Linked DNA regions of Daphnia pulex. The protein of the gene in region 1 interacts with the protein of each later gene in a biochemical or structural test. Links are inferred from orthologs where the notes say so. Each region holds a gene or a part of one and is shown on either strand. Other genes may lie near its edges. The genes, in order: coatomer subunit beta-like and coatomer subunit delta-like.

Region 1 (7,431 bases):
TGGGCCGTCAATAAAGGCACTCAATATTTTGCACCAAAGGTAATAGAAATAAAAATTTATTGAAAGCAGAAAGTTAATAACTGTGAAGTTGTTTCCTGGAATCTACTATAGATGATGAAAACGTTGCACAAAGCATGTCGGGGATATTTAGAATGGAAACAGCTACATAGTCCGGGTTTTAAGCCATGGCTGTATCCTGAACAGATGGACTATCCAAAACTACTAGTCGACCAAGTAATGTGAAATTTAAATGCTTTGTCCTATTTAACGCCTGTTTAACTTTCGTGATTTTAAAATATGTAGAACACCACTGTAAATGGTGCTAACAAGATTATGTTGAACGACAAAGGGAACAATCGAGACAGCAAAGAAATGGCGTCAATTTAAGTTAAGCATTTCCCAATATCGCGCACAAGTATGCTAGTTTTAATTTAATTTTGGTCCTATCTCAAAGTTCCGTATTTGCATGCATTGATTAATTTTATATGCAAAGAGCAGCAATTGTGAACTACATTTTAATATAACAGCCCACAGTTATATTGATGATGCAAAACTAATCAAGTAACAACTGCATTCCAAATATTTCTAAAAGAATGTAGATGAGGGGAAAATACTTGCAACAAATAGACATTTGAATTTGGGAAAAGTTTTGAATCATAGAAAATGAATGAAAAAAGTATGGAAATAATTGTAGAGGAAAATTCTACAATTACATTTTAAGCCACAGGAGACTTTACAGAAGCCTTTTGAATCGTGTTAATTTTGTCGCCGAGACTGAGAGCCATTCCTTGACTCTTGGCACGAATTCGAATGTGTCCTGTAACTGGTGCGTCGGGTTTACCGAATGGTTTCTCTAAACTGAGATTAGCTAACGCATCTTCTCCAAAGACTGAACGAGCATACAAGTTGGCTGCCATGAATCCACAATCACCAGCTAGTGCCTTCTCTGGAGTCAGACACTTCATATTTGTCGATCTACACAAAGAAATTAATTTATACTAGGAAATTTAGAAGGACAAAAGAAATGATCCCACTTACTTGAGCAGATGTTGCAAATAAAGATTTAGATCGTTGATATTAGTATTGACGGTGACTTTGTTCTCCCATTCGAAATCAGCCCACATCTGTCGGAATTCAGCATCAGTGCAGCTGGCAGGCATGATATAGTCCATGATATCAATGTGAATGTCATTCAGTACCACGACGTTACGGTCCGATGTCGAGCCAGTAACATCATAGACTATATTTCCAAAGATAATACCATTCTCCGTCGATGCCACCTTTAATTAATGGATAAATACAGGCATGAAAAACAATTAGTAATAATTCATTTAGTAATAATTAAAAAGAGCATACCTTAACGCTGGCCTTAATGTTGGCGAAATCGTGCGGAGCCAAAATGATAGCCGAAGGCTTTTCTACCAGTTTCAGATCACCGAGAGTTGCCAATTCCAACGTGCAGTTTTGAAGGGTGTCAGCCGTTTGATTGACAATCAAAACATCAAGTACGATGTCGTATTGGTTCACGTTTACGTACGCTTCGGCGTATACAGGATCAGAGAAACCAGTCAACTGCGTCACCTTGTTCAGTTTTGAGACGCTCAGATCTAATCCAGTTCGCTGAGCGGATCCTACCAAAGCTTGCGACAAACTTGATTCAAATACGTCTTCGAGGCCACCAAGTTCATTGCGTGAAAGCAGTTGCTTGAAAGAGACCAAGTCGTCGGCTTGGATTGATCGGCTGTTCTTTTCTAAGTTCTTTTGGGCAGCAGCTTCTTCCTCAGCTTTGGCAGCTAACATAAGTGAAATGGATCTACGGCAGGCATCGGTAAATACTTCTACTAAAATCGGTGATCGATCCGAGAGCACCTATGTCGAAAAAGAAAATTGTAATGGGGGTTCACTCATTTTTTACCATTGATAACTTACCTTAAGGCAAAGCCCCAATCTTTCAGCATCGTCATTGCTAATTGGTTTCTGAGGCAGTCCCGAACGACCCAAATGAAGAATCGCTGCAATCACTAGCATGGCTTCGGCACAAAACTGGTTTTGCGTTTGCGGGTTCGACACTTGTTGAACAAAACGTAAGGCCAGCTTTGTCATAGTTGTAGCCATTGATGCACCAATGAAGAAATCGCCTTCCATCAGATATCTACAAAGAAATTTAATTATGAATGCAATGCTAAATGGAACGACATCAACAGAATTGACATACTTTCGAAGAGGAGGCCTTTCTTCTTTTTTGGCGGTTGTTACGGCAGCACTGAAGATAGACTGCGTAGCGTATGTACCATCTGCAGTTACCAAGCGGGCGCTAGAAGCAACAGGATTAGTAACGCTCCCAGTTCCCTGTGCTAAAGGATTTTCCGGATCGGTCTGCTCTCCTGCTGCTTTTCGGATTTCGTCATCCACGATTGGAATTTCGCCAAGCGATTGTCGCACTTTGGACATAACTGAACGAATGTCATCAGCCGAAGTGGCGTATTCGCCCAAGATCCAAATTGCTGCACGGTGCACCTTGACGGATCTTTGAAAAAAAAAAAAACATCTAATGTAGAATTGCTGCCAGTAAAAACGAAATGGAGTTATTTAAACTTACTTGATGGAAAGAAAGGCTTCTAAAAGTTTTTCGATGATTAATGGACGAAGTCCTTCGAACTTCTGAATCGCTTCGCGAACAAAGACCAAAACATCGGCGGCTGCTAGCTCGTTGGTGTCGGAAAGGAATTCAGTCAGTACAGGGATGACGGTCGCAGAAATGTCAGGAAACTTGATGCAACACGAGTGAAGAGTGCGCACCAAAAGTTGCCGATACTTTCCCGTATCTTCATGCTCGGTTGTGTTGTGCGTCTTTGTTACCTCCTACAAGATAATTCATCAATAGAAAATTATTCCTATCGATTTACCATTTCACCGGAATTCTTACCTTTTTCAAAACGAGCACGATATCTTCTATGTTTCGCGAAGACACTAAATCAAGTATAAGGGATAGTGTCTTCTTTCGTACTTCCAAATCTGGAGTAGCCAATACCCGCAAGATGTCCATCACCAATTCCTGAAATGAATTACATAATTAATATTTTGTAACATGTGAATGATTAAATTCAAGATACCTGCAAGACACGTTCTTGATTCGGCTGCTCTTTCAAGGCGATCAAACGATCCAGCACAATCAACTTCACATTATTGTCGCTTTCCTTTAAGATAATTTCGATGTAGCAACTAGCAGCAGCTGTTCAAGAAGAAGAGAAAACATATTAAGTTGGAAACCCAAATTAAATATTAGTGAATATGAATAATACCTTTAATAGCCGACGGTGCGGACGATAAGGTTACTAGAGTGCCAGCAGCTTCGTAGCGAACGGCCGGACTGGTGGCATTCAAGAGACTGTAGATACAACGAATGAAACGCGATCGCTCACTAGGATTGGCGTGACACACTTTGTAGATAAGTTCAACGATGACCAATTGCAGAATATCACCGAAGGAGTGAACCTAACAGATTTTGTTTTCCTTAAGTTTGTTTGGAAATTGGAAACCTTAAAATAGTTCTATTACTTGATCGATGCAAGAGGTAAGATAGGAGAGCGCCCTTTCTTGGTCAGCGTGAATCAACATCATGAATGCATTACGTTTACAGGACATGTCCTGTTCACGTTCTAGAAAATTGGCAATCAATTCTGGCCCGTCAGGAATGAGGAAATCAAAATTGCGGTAAATTGTGTAAATTGCCAAAACAGCATTGCGTCGAACGTAAGAATGTCGGTGCTCCAAACACGACCTGATCGATGGCATCAACGGTTCTAAGATTTCAGGTTCCTAAAAAGTAAATTACAAAAGATTAGCTTATCAATAAATTAAGGTATAAAAGAAATTGGCTTACCTTAAGCTTGCAAAGAAAACGTAATGTTGATCCTCTAATAAATTCATTTGGATGTTGCAAATCTCTCCTGTAAGCATCACAGACGAGAATCATTTCATGCAAGAGTTTTCCATCTGCTGAAGTCTTTGGAATGATTTCCCAGAATATCAACAGAAGTTTCTTGACATTATGATCCTGAAGTGGCAGCACAAATTTGACCACTGCCATGAGGATTCCTGGAATCTTTTCTCCATTTAAAATTATGTAAATGGCCTTTTTTAAAGCATCAATCTTGGCTTTGATATCTCCAATTTCCAACTCTTTTCGCAGCTGATCTGGAGGTGGATAGTCAGAATCTGGAGTACTGATGAGGGTATAACAAGGTTGCTCAGTCACAGACATCTGTAAAAACAAAACAATACATGAATCGTGAAAACTTGGACCGGTTTACGCTCGATGAAATGTTATTGTGACAGCGACCCGCAACCCATTCGAAATCTATAACGATGGTATTTGTTGAACACTGAATAACGATTCCAAAATGTCGGATGACTTGCCTTGATTTCTTTGTATTACAACGGCTTGTTGTGTTTTCTGTGTGAGCCGTAACTATATGAAACGAAGGAAATTCACGAAACCTTTGACGTTGCAGAATGTCAGAAAATACCCACGTCAGTCGGTAAGCGACAGATCTTAATTCGTAAAATTGACAACCACGCAGCCATGTTGCCATTATGAGTTTTAATTTTGACGTTGTTTTTTTGTTATTTTTATTCAAAATAGATATTCAGTCCCAGCTTGTGTTGGTTTCCAGATTTTCCAGGCATACTCTCTCTCTGTACCATCAAAACAAGAGTTTTTGTGGGTTTCCCGGATAAACAATGTGTCAACTGCCTAGTCATCGTCACCCATGTTTCTCTGAACCACTGTGAACTTCTTCGACACGTTTGAAGCAGGTTTGAAGACCAGCACCAGTCACGTCTCCATCTTCGGCAATGGTCAGTTTGTTTTCAATGTGTAAAGGTATTTTGATGGGAGTTAGTTAGAATTTTTCGTCCATTTAATCGGCAAAGCCTTTAAGAGACGATACAATTTGTTCTTAGTTATTTGATAATAGAAATGTTCGTTCGAAATAGAATGTGCAGATGGCCACAATCTCCATACCTTCACTGCTTCACAATATGCAGATTGCATATTAATCGTCTTGCCATTAATCACAGAAAATTAGAATTGGAAACGATTAGCATCCGAAGGTACTGGCCGTTATATCTCTATTTCGTAGTTACCAGCTTTAATACGTTTAATATGGTCGTTACTTCGTTGGTTCGCTCGGCTCACTGTAGCCTATAGCTAATCGATATTAAATATTTATGTTTTATGTTATTAGCATCAAATGTAATTATGTTTGTTCAGGATACTTTTCATTTATTATTTATTTTCATCGTTTTAAACTAACTGAGGCATTGAGCAAAAGGAATCATGGAAATTTCCGCGACTATCATTGTTGCGTCTACGATGATCTTTCCTTAAAATTTGTTTTTTTTGTGTTGGTAGGCCTTCCATCTAAAAAAAGTTCAAGTATTCAAGTAAAATATCTTTAAATTTTTAAAAAACGTTTTATAATGCAAACATGTTATATTTTCAACGTAAAAGAAATTATCTTATATTTAAAAAAAGCGTGTGGGTAGAATGAGGCCATCCTCACGATAGATAAACATCACGCTTTCCCGTAAGAGGGAAACTAGGGTCTTCTTCTTTTGACGCCACCGGCAATCGGAAAGACATTTGATTTTTTCCTCACAGGCACCACAGAGCATGATGTTACAGCTAGCTATAAAGAAAGACAACTGCTGTTAGTGAACAGACGGCTCCAAGTCATCGGCCAGTATACAAGACTTTCTGATTTTCGAGTTCATTTTTAATTGGGGTGTCGTCATTCGCTGTTGAGAGTTCATCATGCGATTGTTCCTTCTATTTTTAGTTTTTTTGTTTGTATCGCCTGTTTTGTCACATTTCAGTGAAGGTAAGGAATTCACTGAAAAGTCCGTTAATGTCGTAATTTTACCCTTCAAATAACCTTACTCGGAAACTCTCACGCTAAGTTTTCTGATAACTGTTATTGTATTGCTATCGCTTCCAAGTGCCTTGCCCCTTACCATCAAAGGGCGTTAACTGAAAATAATTTCAGTTAAAAAACACTTTGGTTGAGTTTTTAACTGTAAATTTAACTTAAGTTTGTTCATCAAGCAACAAACAAATTTCATTTCATTTTTCTAATACAGAGAAAAAAGACGCAAGTTTGGAGGGCAGCCTAACAATCGAAACATCCGTGATCAATGCAAAGAATGAAACGAAATTGTTACTTCCGGATCTTCAAGTAGAATCAGTCGACGTCAATGTCGAAGAAATTTCATCAGCTACAAGTGTTGAGAGAAGGCAAAGCAGGAAAAAGAAACGTCGAAATAATAAGCGACGTCAGAATCGTATTAATCAACTGAGGAAGAAAGGTAATTTTTAAAAGTCCCAATTTTATTTAGTGATATTGTACATATTTCTGAATCACTAGGTAAAAAACCCAATGGACGCAAACGCCGCCCACAGAATGACAAGAAAGGATACGGAAAGAATAAACGACCCATTTTTAAACCAATTCAATACTTGGCTCGTTCGTCTAGTACAGATCAATTGAACAAAGCTCTGGATGAAATGCTCGAGAGTTTGTCTCTAAATTTAGCCAACGAAAATTCATCAACGTTTTCACTAAAATTGAAGTGAGTTTATTATAATTTTCTAAAAACTTTCTATACATTTACTCATTACATTGTATTGTTCTCGTCATTAGCAACTTTCGCGAGGACATGAAAATATCTCCTTGGGCTTTCCTTGCAATAAATGAAACGCAAACAACCGAAGTGGAAAGGAAAATTCGTACAGAAAGAGCCGCTGGGGATCCCGGAACGGAAGCAGTTGAAAGCGATGCAACCGAAAGTGATGAAGACGTCGATGATGATGAGACGAATGTGGAAGGGGAAGCGGCAATCGAAATCGCAACCGAAAGTATTGCTGAAGAGTCTTCCACTGTTTCGGAAGAAAAAGAGATCATAGCAACTGAAGAAGAGAATGACGACGACGATGATTATGAAACAGCCACAGAAATTTCCCTTAATTTTAAACAACCACAGAAGACTAATGCAACCCAGTTTTATCGGACCCAAAAGCCATCTCCTGTTGTGCTCGACGACGGCACTATCGAGTACAATCTTCAGCTGCTCAATGAAAACGATATTAAGCAAAGAAAACTGGAATTCAATGAGGATATTTCATCAGAAAAATTTCAGTAATACCTAACTTAAAGCAATGAAATTACAGCTTTCATTTTAATTTGCTGTTTCGTTTACAGAGATGACACTGGCCGCCCGGTCAAGAAACTGGAGGGTAAACGAGGTTCATCTCGACGCAATTCACGCAGACCAAGTGCTACTGTGGAAGGCATTGATCAGATTAAAAGGGAGGGCGATGTTTTGATTGGAGTGAGAGAAAATTCTACCACACACAATGTCGATGCTACA
Region 2 (7,650 bases), on another chromosome or scaffold:
ACGAGTTCGTTGCGCCGAGCAGCTCAATTGAAGCGCCACTTTCCCCACCTTGCAATCCAAGACGTAAGGGGAAATTTAAACACAAGGTATAATATAATTTCGCCGATAGATAAAATCTTTCGTCATTAATCGCGAGTTTCTGTGATAGACTACGCAAATTAGACGACGAAGGAACGTATGCTGCACTCATTTTAGCGACAGCTGGAGTCAAGCGAATGAACTGGGAATCGCGTATTTCAGAATATCTTGATACGGACGTGAGCATGTACGCCATTGGCCAAGGTGCACTCGGGATCGAGTGCCGCCAAGATGATATTGCTACTCGTCAACTTTTAGCACCATTTAGCCACGCTAACACGCTACTAGTGTAAGTAAAATTCTATTCATCGTTATATTACATCACATCATATTTTATACAACTATTGCAGTTGCGTTGCTGAACGTGCATTCCTTCGAACACTGGAAGGAGGCTGCTCAGCACCGGTGGCTGTGGAATCTCGTCTAGTTGGAGATATGCTCTACCTTAAGGGTGGTGTATGGAGTTTGGATGGGAAACAAAACGTCACCCAGTCATTGGAAGTGGAGCTAGTTGTATGTTTACTCTAACTTCATTAAAAATTAACATGCATCATTATAACTTATCACATAATTAATTTAGGATATCGAAGATGTTCCACCAGCTGCATCATACACTGCTGTTGTAAGTTCTAGTGTTGGCAATTCTCGCTTGGCCCTGGCGGAATGGTTGGGCGTATCCTTGGCCGGAAAAATCGTCTCATTGGGAGGAGGAGTTATACTTGACGAAGCGAAAAAAGAGACTGAAAATCGCAATTTGGTAGCTGCTAATGTACGCCCATCCAAATAGATGCGCGGATTTTTATCTTCTCTTAGTCAAACGTACATAGTAAAAGGAAGTAAAATTGTGGGTAAAGCTTTGAATACAGATGTGGTTTGTTAATTTTCAATGCTGTTTCTTTCCTTCTTCTTCTTTAAGCTAGGCTAATATTTCATAGATAAAAAAGCAAGCAAGATAACAAGGTATGAGAAATCCAGAAGACTTGGAAATAATACAGCTTTTAATTGATATACTGTATGCCATGCAACCCCAGCAGTGTACACTGTTCCAACGACAACACATGATAAGAGTTTTCTGAACTCTTAACTGATCGAAAACATAAACAAACGGAGAAAGAAAAAGAGATGAAAGAAAAGAGAAAAGAAAACACGCCCAAACATGAGTGCCGCTGCTGATTCAAAGATATATGCACGTAGAAAAAAAGGAAGAAAAAACTTTTAGATTTCAATATATCATATTTACTGGGCGGCTCAACAAACTTCAGCGCTTTAAATTGCTTTGTTATGAAAGGTGGGAGAAAAAAGGGTGAATTTGAGGAGGTTGAATCGATTCAGAGACGGGAAAAACGAACTGCACGTTGGCATTAAATATTAACCACAGATGGTAACCTAAAGTCTTTCTCATTCCTCACCCCTCTCCTCCAGTTGACAGTCAAGGAGTTCATCAGTTTGTTTGTGTTGACGCTAACGACAGGGGGTGAGGGGCAACTGGCAAAATCACGAACACTTTGCTACTTCCACGGATTTCAGAAGCAAAACATTCAAAGGATTTCGTACTTCTCCGTAAAAAAATTGGAATCGGCCGCATACTTCACCGATGTGCCGTCATCTACTAGTACGACATCATTTACCTACAACGAAAATGGGAAAATTGTAGACAAATGGAATAAATAAACACAGATTGCAACCGTACCGATATTTCAGCATAGGAGCGCTTCGAATAGAAGTTGACATTGATTGGGAAGAAGTCATTCGCATGGCCCTGACATGAAAACTCCATAGCTCCACTTTTATTGGAAGAGTCCACAACGGGGAGTTGCCACGAAAGCTGATTTTTCCTTGGTTCATACTGATACTCTCCTTCACACTCGGAAACATTCGGTGCTCCGCAACCATGACTACACGAATAAACGAAAGATGATGAGTTGCACCTAGAGCCTAATAGAAAAAAGTCTTACGGCAACGGAATGACAATGACAACGTCGTTCAGCTCTAATCGATCATCTTGAAGTTCGAATTCAATATTAACGTCACAGCCTCCACGTCCGTTTTCAGCTGGCCAGCAATTAACTATAATTTTTTTTAAATCATTAAATTTTGCCAGACAACGTAATTAAGATGATGAATTACTGTTCAGTGGAATCATATTTTCGTCTTGTGTTTGGAAACGCCACTTAAGTACACCAACATCCGTATTCAATGGGAACGGTTTTGTGGCATTCTTCAATGCAATGTGCTGCTTAGTGCGAAATAGTTCCTTGTCAACGTTAGGATGAGTTTGAATTTGAATTCCGCGACTATCTCTGTTCTCCACCTATGGATAAATCAGTCGAATTTTGAAAAAAGAAAATAAACACAATGCAAAGGAAATCATTTTACCTGTACGCGGACTCGACCGTAAGTCTCATCAGTAATAAAAAGTGTTAGTAAGCCATGAATTTCCATGTTGTGTAATCCACCGTCACGTCCACAACTGAGGCTAAGCTTTTCTTCTATTCGAAGTTGGACTCTGGATAAAAGAAATTACAGTCAAGCGTTAAATTTTAATAAGCATTGAGGTATTGTAAATTACGGTTCGGTAGCGATGGTTGATGGCGGCAGTTTGTTTGAGCTCACAGAACCACCTTGGACTACGGAAGCGGGGGACTGGAACGAGTTTACATTCTCGCCTTCTGATTTTAGTTGGTCAACAAATATTTCGGCGTCCTTCAGACGGCCCCCAAGCTTGAGGGCTTTGCTCGGGCCATTAGGTTTTCTAAGAAAAGTACCACGCTGTCAGTTAAGAACTAGTTGAGCGGAAAAATAATTAGCGAATTCACTTACACAACAGCTGGTTGATAAGTTGGCTTAGGAGGCTCAGTCGGAATCGAAGCAGCCATGGGAGATGGCCCGTAACCTCCAGAAGATGAAATGGGAGACTTGATGCCCCTTTTATTAGATTCAACTCGCTGTCTCTGCAATTCTTTGGCTTTCTCTCGCATTTTCATCTTGGCATCTCGTTCTTGTGTCTTTATGGGGAAAAAAATAGTGAAATAAGACCAAACAACTACTTAAATGAGAAAATCCAAACCTGTCTAACAGCCTGGTAGACTTTCTCTTCGTGTGAATCCATTTCGACAAATGTTCGAATTTGAGCCAAATTAACGTTTTCGCGATAGCCAAGAGCAACGATTTCGTCAAAGGCAAATATCAAATTGAAGGCATTTTCCCGGATTTCGGATTCTTCAAAAGTGCGGCAATATTCAGGTACCTACATGAATTTAATGTTAGCAAACCTACTAATGAGAAGATCTTATAAATTATTACCACACGAGCGAAAAGACGTAAAGTTTCTAAATCCTCCAAGATATTGGATGCCCTCGTTGTGATAAGTAATACATACACTTTGTCTAAAGGTTGATAAACATATCTAACCGATTCTGTTTCAACAAAAGTGTGTTGTTGTTGAGCAGCTTTTCCTGAAGACATTAGTTTAGGAAAGGCAGCTAAGAGACCTTCTATTCTGGATTTGGTCATCTCCACAAACTGTCTTGACACCAAGGCTGTAATTGAGAAAAAAAAAGTCATTTCTATTATTTTATGCATCATTTTTGTAAAACTTTGCAACACACCTTTTCCACCCTTGGTGCAAACAGCAGCTGCAATGAGAACCTGAATAATAATGAAAATTAATGAACAAGTGTCACAAGTGGAACAAAATCACAGAAATGACAACAAACATATTTTTTGTTGCGAAATAACATTGGCAACTTGGTATTGCTTCAACGATATTAAAAGCCCATGTTTTCTAGGCTACTGTTGCTAAAGATACAGCACACAATCTTTCAGAAATCAAAATGTATTGCTAGCTTTCCGAAGTAGTCTGGTATACTAGAATGCATGTCCTAACAATCAAAGTTAATCATAGTTATATGATTGAAATGTTTTAAGTTATTTTGATGATGTAAAGCACTATTGAAGAAATCATAATAAAATATCCACGTAGACGAAAGTTTAGCCAAATGTCAGATGGGCCGGTTGTGCAACCCCAATGACAACTTCAACAACGCCCATAGTAAATATTTTCATAAAATTAAAAACACTTAGGTTCGTTGATCATACCATTATTGCGCAGATTAAAGGCTCCTAAAGACTTTATCGGACCCCTTTTACCACAACTTTTCAGGGAGGATTCAAGATCCTAAGAACTGACGGCACAAGATGACGTGGATCGTCAACTGTTTTTCCAGGGTTGCCATTTTCAAATTGAAAAATAAATAAAACTGAAGCAAGGGCCCGTTTCTGGCAATGGCTGATTGATGTCTGGCGGTAAATATTTTGGTATTCGAATGCATCATAATTTTCTGCGTGTTTCACTGAGTTATTGCTTTCAAAGTAAAACAAAGGAAACAACATTATGATGGGTAAAATGTTCGATTGAGTTCGGCAAGATCGCATATTCGCATGTGACATCAGAAATTCGGCAAAACGACTCAAAACAACTAGTCAAGGCAAGTCTCGAAAATGATCTCATAACTACTCCTTTTTACTCAACTCCAGTCCACACAAAAAGGATTTTTTTTAATGTATTTTCTGTTTAATGCTACTCGAAAAATAATCCGAATAAAATGTTCAAGTTAACGAAAACGAATTTAGTTGGTTAACGAATTTAGTTGGTTAACGAATTTGCGTCTATCTGTCGAATTTGTAGCATGCAACCACTTTCTCCGTATAAGTCTGAGGCTGTCATTGTTTACTTTATGATTACCTGATTGCTGAACCCATGACGAAAACTACGGTGAACTATTGTGAAAGGATCTTAACATGATAATGGGAAAATAGTGAGAGGATTTATTCGCTGTATGTGCAGGCCAACCCATTTCAACCATTATTCTATATTTGGCGATTTTGGTAAAATGCCCACAAGAGCTAAATAACAGAAACAGAAAGTGCTTTTGCAACGAAAATGAGTCTCCGAAATCGACTAGAACTTTTTTGTTGTATCGTGTCACGTTTTTTTTCAATAAATTTTGTTTCTTATAGCTTAGAAGCGACATGAAATAAATAAAATGATTCAGATTTTCTTGTTTAAATTTCTGAAAGATTGGGCATTAATTAATAATTATAAGGTACCTGTTTTACATTAAATACAATTAGAGGATATAAAAACTACTGATTGTATTGAAAATTCTTATCTGGTTAACAGAAATGAATTAGATTTATTTGTATTCATTTATTCAACCCATCGAGTGTCCGACAGGCGACAGTTAAGATTTGCGATCACGCAATCGAGTGTCATTATGATCACCAGATCACGTCACATTCGTCCTAACGGAGTGTGGTAGAGACTTCTCCTCCCCCTGGAGGAGGAGGAGCTACGCAACTCAGATTTTTTTTTCTCTAGACACTTCTACATCTCGGAGAAAGAAAAAGTATTTTATTATCCCCTCCAAATCACGATATAGGAGCAGTAGAACGAGTTCATTTTGATCCATTCCGATACCAGAAGAATGCATTTAAAATAAATGGAAACGAATACTATTGTAAAAATCAAAATGAATTAATGCAATGCAGATTCCTTGTAATTAACGATTCAAAGCGCAACATCTCGCGACTACAGTTAACATGTATTTGAATTTCCGAATTATAAATAGCTTAACTTAATTAATTTTGAATGAAATCAAAGCCCCACAGAGTTGCCATAAGAGACCGCAGTGTTTTTCAAAATTGCTGGTCGCCCATGATTGGCCCAACGGAAAAGAGGAATGGAGAGGAAAAGACCTGGGGAAATCGGTGGATGGGATATCGGCTCGAAAAGGATCGACCTCTCTGCTTTTTTTCTGAACAGTTGATTCTGAGACTTTGAAGGTGGTGGTGCAACGACTCGTTAAATCTTTCTCGCACGCGCCGGCCATACACACGTGACTGAGCTCTGATCATTTATCCGGTCAACTTGAATCATGGTAAGTTTCTACTTTTTCATTTGAGTATTTCTTCGATGTGATTCGTGTTAAGAATCGGGCTAAATTCTTCGTTAGAATATGTAATTAAGTCGATTGCCTGTCATCAGGTCAACTCTTTTTTCCGTTACAGTTCACTATGGCCTCCATTTTAACTTGATGACGTAAAGTGTGATCAGAGTTTAACTTAAGTCAACTAATGTCAAACTGATGGCTGTACGTGTTTTTTTTTTCTTGCAAGTTTCGACTCAAGTTGTTGAAATGTGGAATGTTTTGCTTGGGAAGAGGGAGATAAGTAAATTACAGTGATGTGGCCTTGCTTTAATATTTTATGTTTCTTGGTCTGCAATGGGGAGGGGGGAGTGGACATCTTCTAACCGGCGCGTGTTTTCCTTTCCCCTTCTCTTTACAGGAAACTGTCGACTCAAGGTCGTTCAATTGACATCCCAATTTTGTACGACCACGTGCTCGGTTTTCTTATATTAGAGTAAATTTTGGTTTATTTTTCTATCGACAGTTGGAAAAAGTTGCAACCCACAGTGGAATCACCCGACAGCATGAGTCATCCGCATCAGCGACGCCCAACACACCTGGGCGGCTGATTTCAAATAGAGTTTTTGTGGGCAACATCCCTCCAAATTTGGTCGAGCGTGACCTTATTATGCTATTTAATCGCTTCGGTAAGATACGAGATGTCAAAATCATACCAGAACACGCCCGCAACAAATCTTATGGATTCGTCACTTTCTTCAGTGAAGCAGATGCCAGGAGAGCCATACAAGTAATTGCTATGTCATTATCTTGATTTATTGTTATGTTATGCAAGAGTGTGTACATTTTATAGGCGTCAGTGCAAAATGATTCTGTAATGTGGGGAGATCGCAAGCTTAACGTTGCTCCAGCAGTCAAACGGGCTAACAGTAACAATCACAATCCACTGGTAAACATTTGCAAATACTTTTTAACAATTCTTATCAACTTTATTTACCGACTTTTGTATAGCCGGCTAATTCGAATAGCTATTATCAGACTCCAAACCGGCTCGCCCATAATCCGTTTTATGCCACTTCTGTGCCAGTACCGAATGTTAACACCATGTACACTACTAATACGGGAGTAGTATCGCCTACCGACCAAAACCAGTCAGTCGATCACATGCAGGTTGATGCCAGCAACAATGCAATGTACCAGACTGCTGTCATTTGCCGTCTGCCTCATCAATACGCCATGGTATTTTTAACTAATTGGTGTAATGGATTTACATTAACTTAATTCATTTACTTCTAGGCGCAATGCCATCAATACTCGTCGTCCTCTAGCGGTCATTATTTCGTCTCTCCTGGATTCCAGCCATATGTCCAGGTAATTGTTGATCAGATTAAATTATTACAATCGAGTGGTATTGACATTGTTTGTACAGACCGGAAGTCCGATCCCAGCCGGCCATCAAGCATCGCACTATGCTTCTTATGCTAGCATTACCTCAATGCCGTTGACTCCGCCTTGTTCCTCAGCATCTCGGGAGAACAGCGCGGGTACGGATGGTCAGTCAGATGTGTGCGCGGATAGCAGCGGAGGCGATAGCGGCAGTCAGGTAGATGTGCTTTCTTCTCTGCGAGATGACTTGCCCCAGCAC

The links.
Region 2: the proteins of coatomer subunit beta-like (region 1) and coatomer subunit delta-like form a complex in vitro, tested with the Homo sapiens proteins (2 studies listed by BioGRID). The link is inferred for Daphnia pulex from reciprocal best matches to the Homo sapiens genes COPB1 and ARCN1.

The regions. Positions count from the first base shown.
Region 1 is NC_060020.1:2,116,867-2,124,297, forward strand, and holds coatomer subunit beta-like, read right to left. Parts: upstream 4,572-7,431; 5' UTR 4,420-4,571; intron 4,265-4,419; coding exon 3,884-4,264; intron 3,820-3,883; coding exon 3,559-3,819; intron 3,496-3,558; coding exon 3,303-3,495; intron 3,233-3,302; coding exon 3,114-3,232; intron 3,056-3,113; coding exon 2,927-3,055; intron 2,863-2,926; coding exon 2,600-2,862; intron 2,528-2,599; coding exon 2,216-2,527; intron 2,153-2,215; coding exon 1,930-2,152; intron 1,870-1,929; coding exon 1,357-1,869; intron 1,281-1,356; coding exon 1,039-1,280; intron 976-1,038; coding exon 717-975; 3' UTR 500-716; downstream 1-499. Other genes in the region: START domain-containing protein 10-like, read left to right, coding at 1-39, 112-234, 304-387; uncharacterized protein LOC124192347, read left to right, coding at 5,819-5,885, 6,145-6,369, 6,429-6,633, 6,705-7,199, 7,263-7,431. UniProt on the Homo sapiens protein: The coatomer is a cytosolic protein complex that binds to dilysine motifs and reversibly associates with Golgi non-clathrin-coated vesicles, which further mediate biosynthetic protein transport from the ER, via the Golgi up to the trans Golgi network.
Region 2 is NC_060022.1:6,326,823-6,334,472, reverse strand, and holds coatomer subunit delta-like, read right to left. Parts: upstream 4,315-7,650; 5' UTR 4,180-4,314; coding exon 4,177-4,179; intron 3,727-4,176; coding exon 3,687-3,726; intron 3,618-3,686; coding exon 3,382-3,617; intron 3,326-3,381; coding exon 3,146-3,325; intron 3,084-3,145; coding exon 2,899-3,083; intron 2,831-2,898; coding exon 2,648-2,830; intron 2,585-2,647; coding exon 2,455-2,584; intron 2,390-2,454; coding exon 2,206-2,389; intron 2,146-2,205; coding exon 2,034-2,145; intron 1,974-2,033; coding exon 1,769-1,973; intron 1,707-1,768; coding exon 1,617-1,706; 3' UTR 1,059-1,616; downstream 1-1,058. Other genes in the region: porphobilinogen deaminase-like, read left to right, coding at 1-86, 149-367, 429-591, 659-865; uncharacterized protein LOC124195439, read left to right, coding at 6,015-6,017, 6,532-6,795, 6,859-6,954, 7,017-7,244, 7,302-7,376, 7,435-7,608. UniProt on the Homo sapiens protein: Component of the coatomer, a cytosolic protein complex that binds to dilysine motifs and reversibly associates with Golgi non-clathrin-coated vesicles, which further mediate biosynthetic protein transport from the ER, via the Golgi up to the trans Golgi network.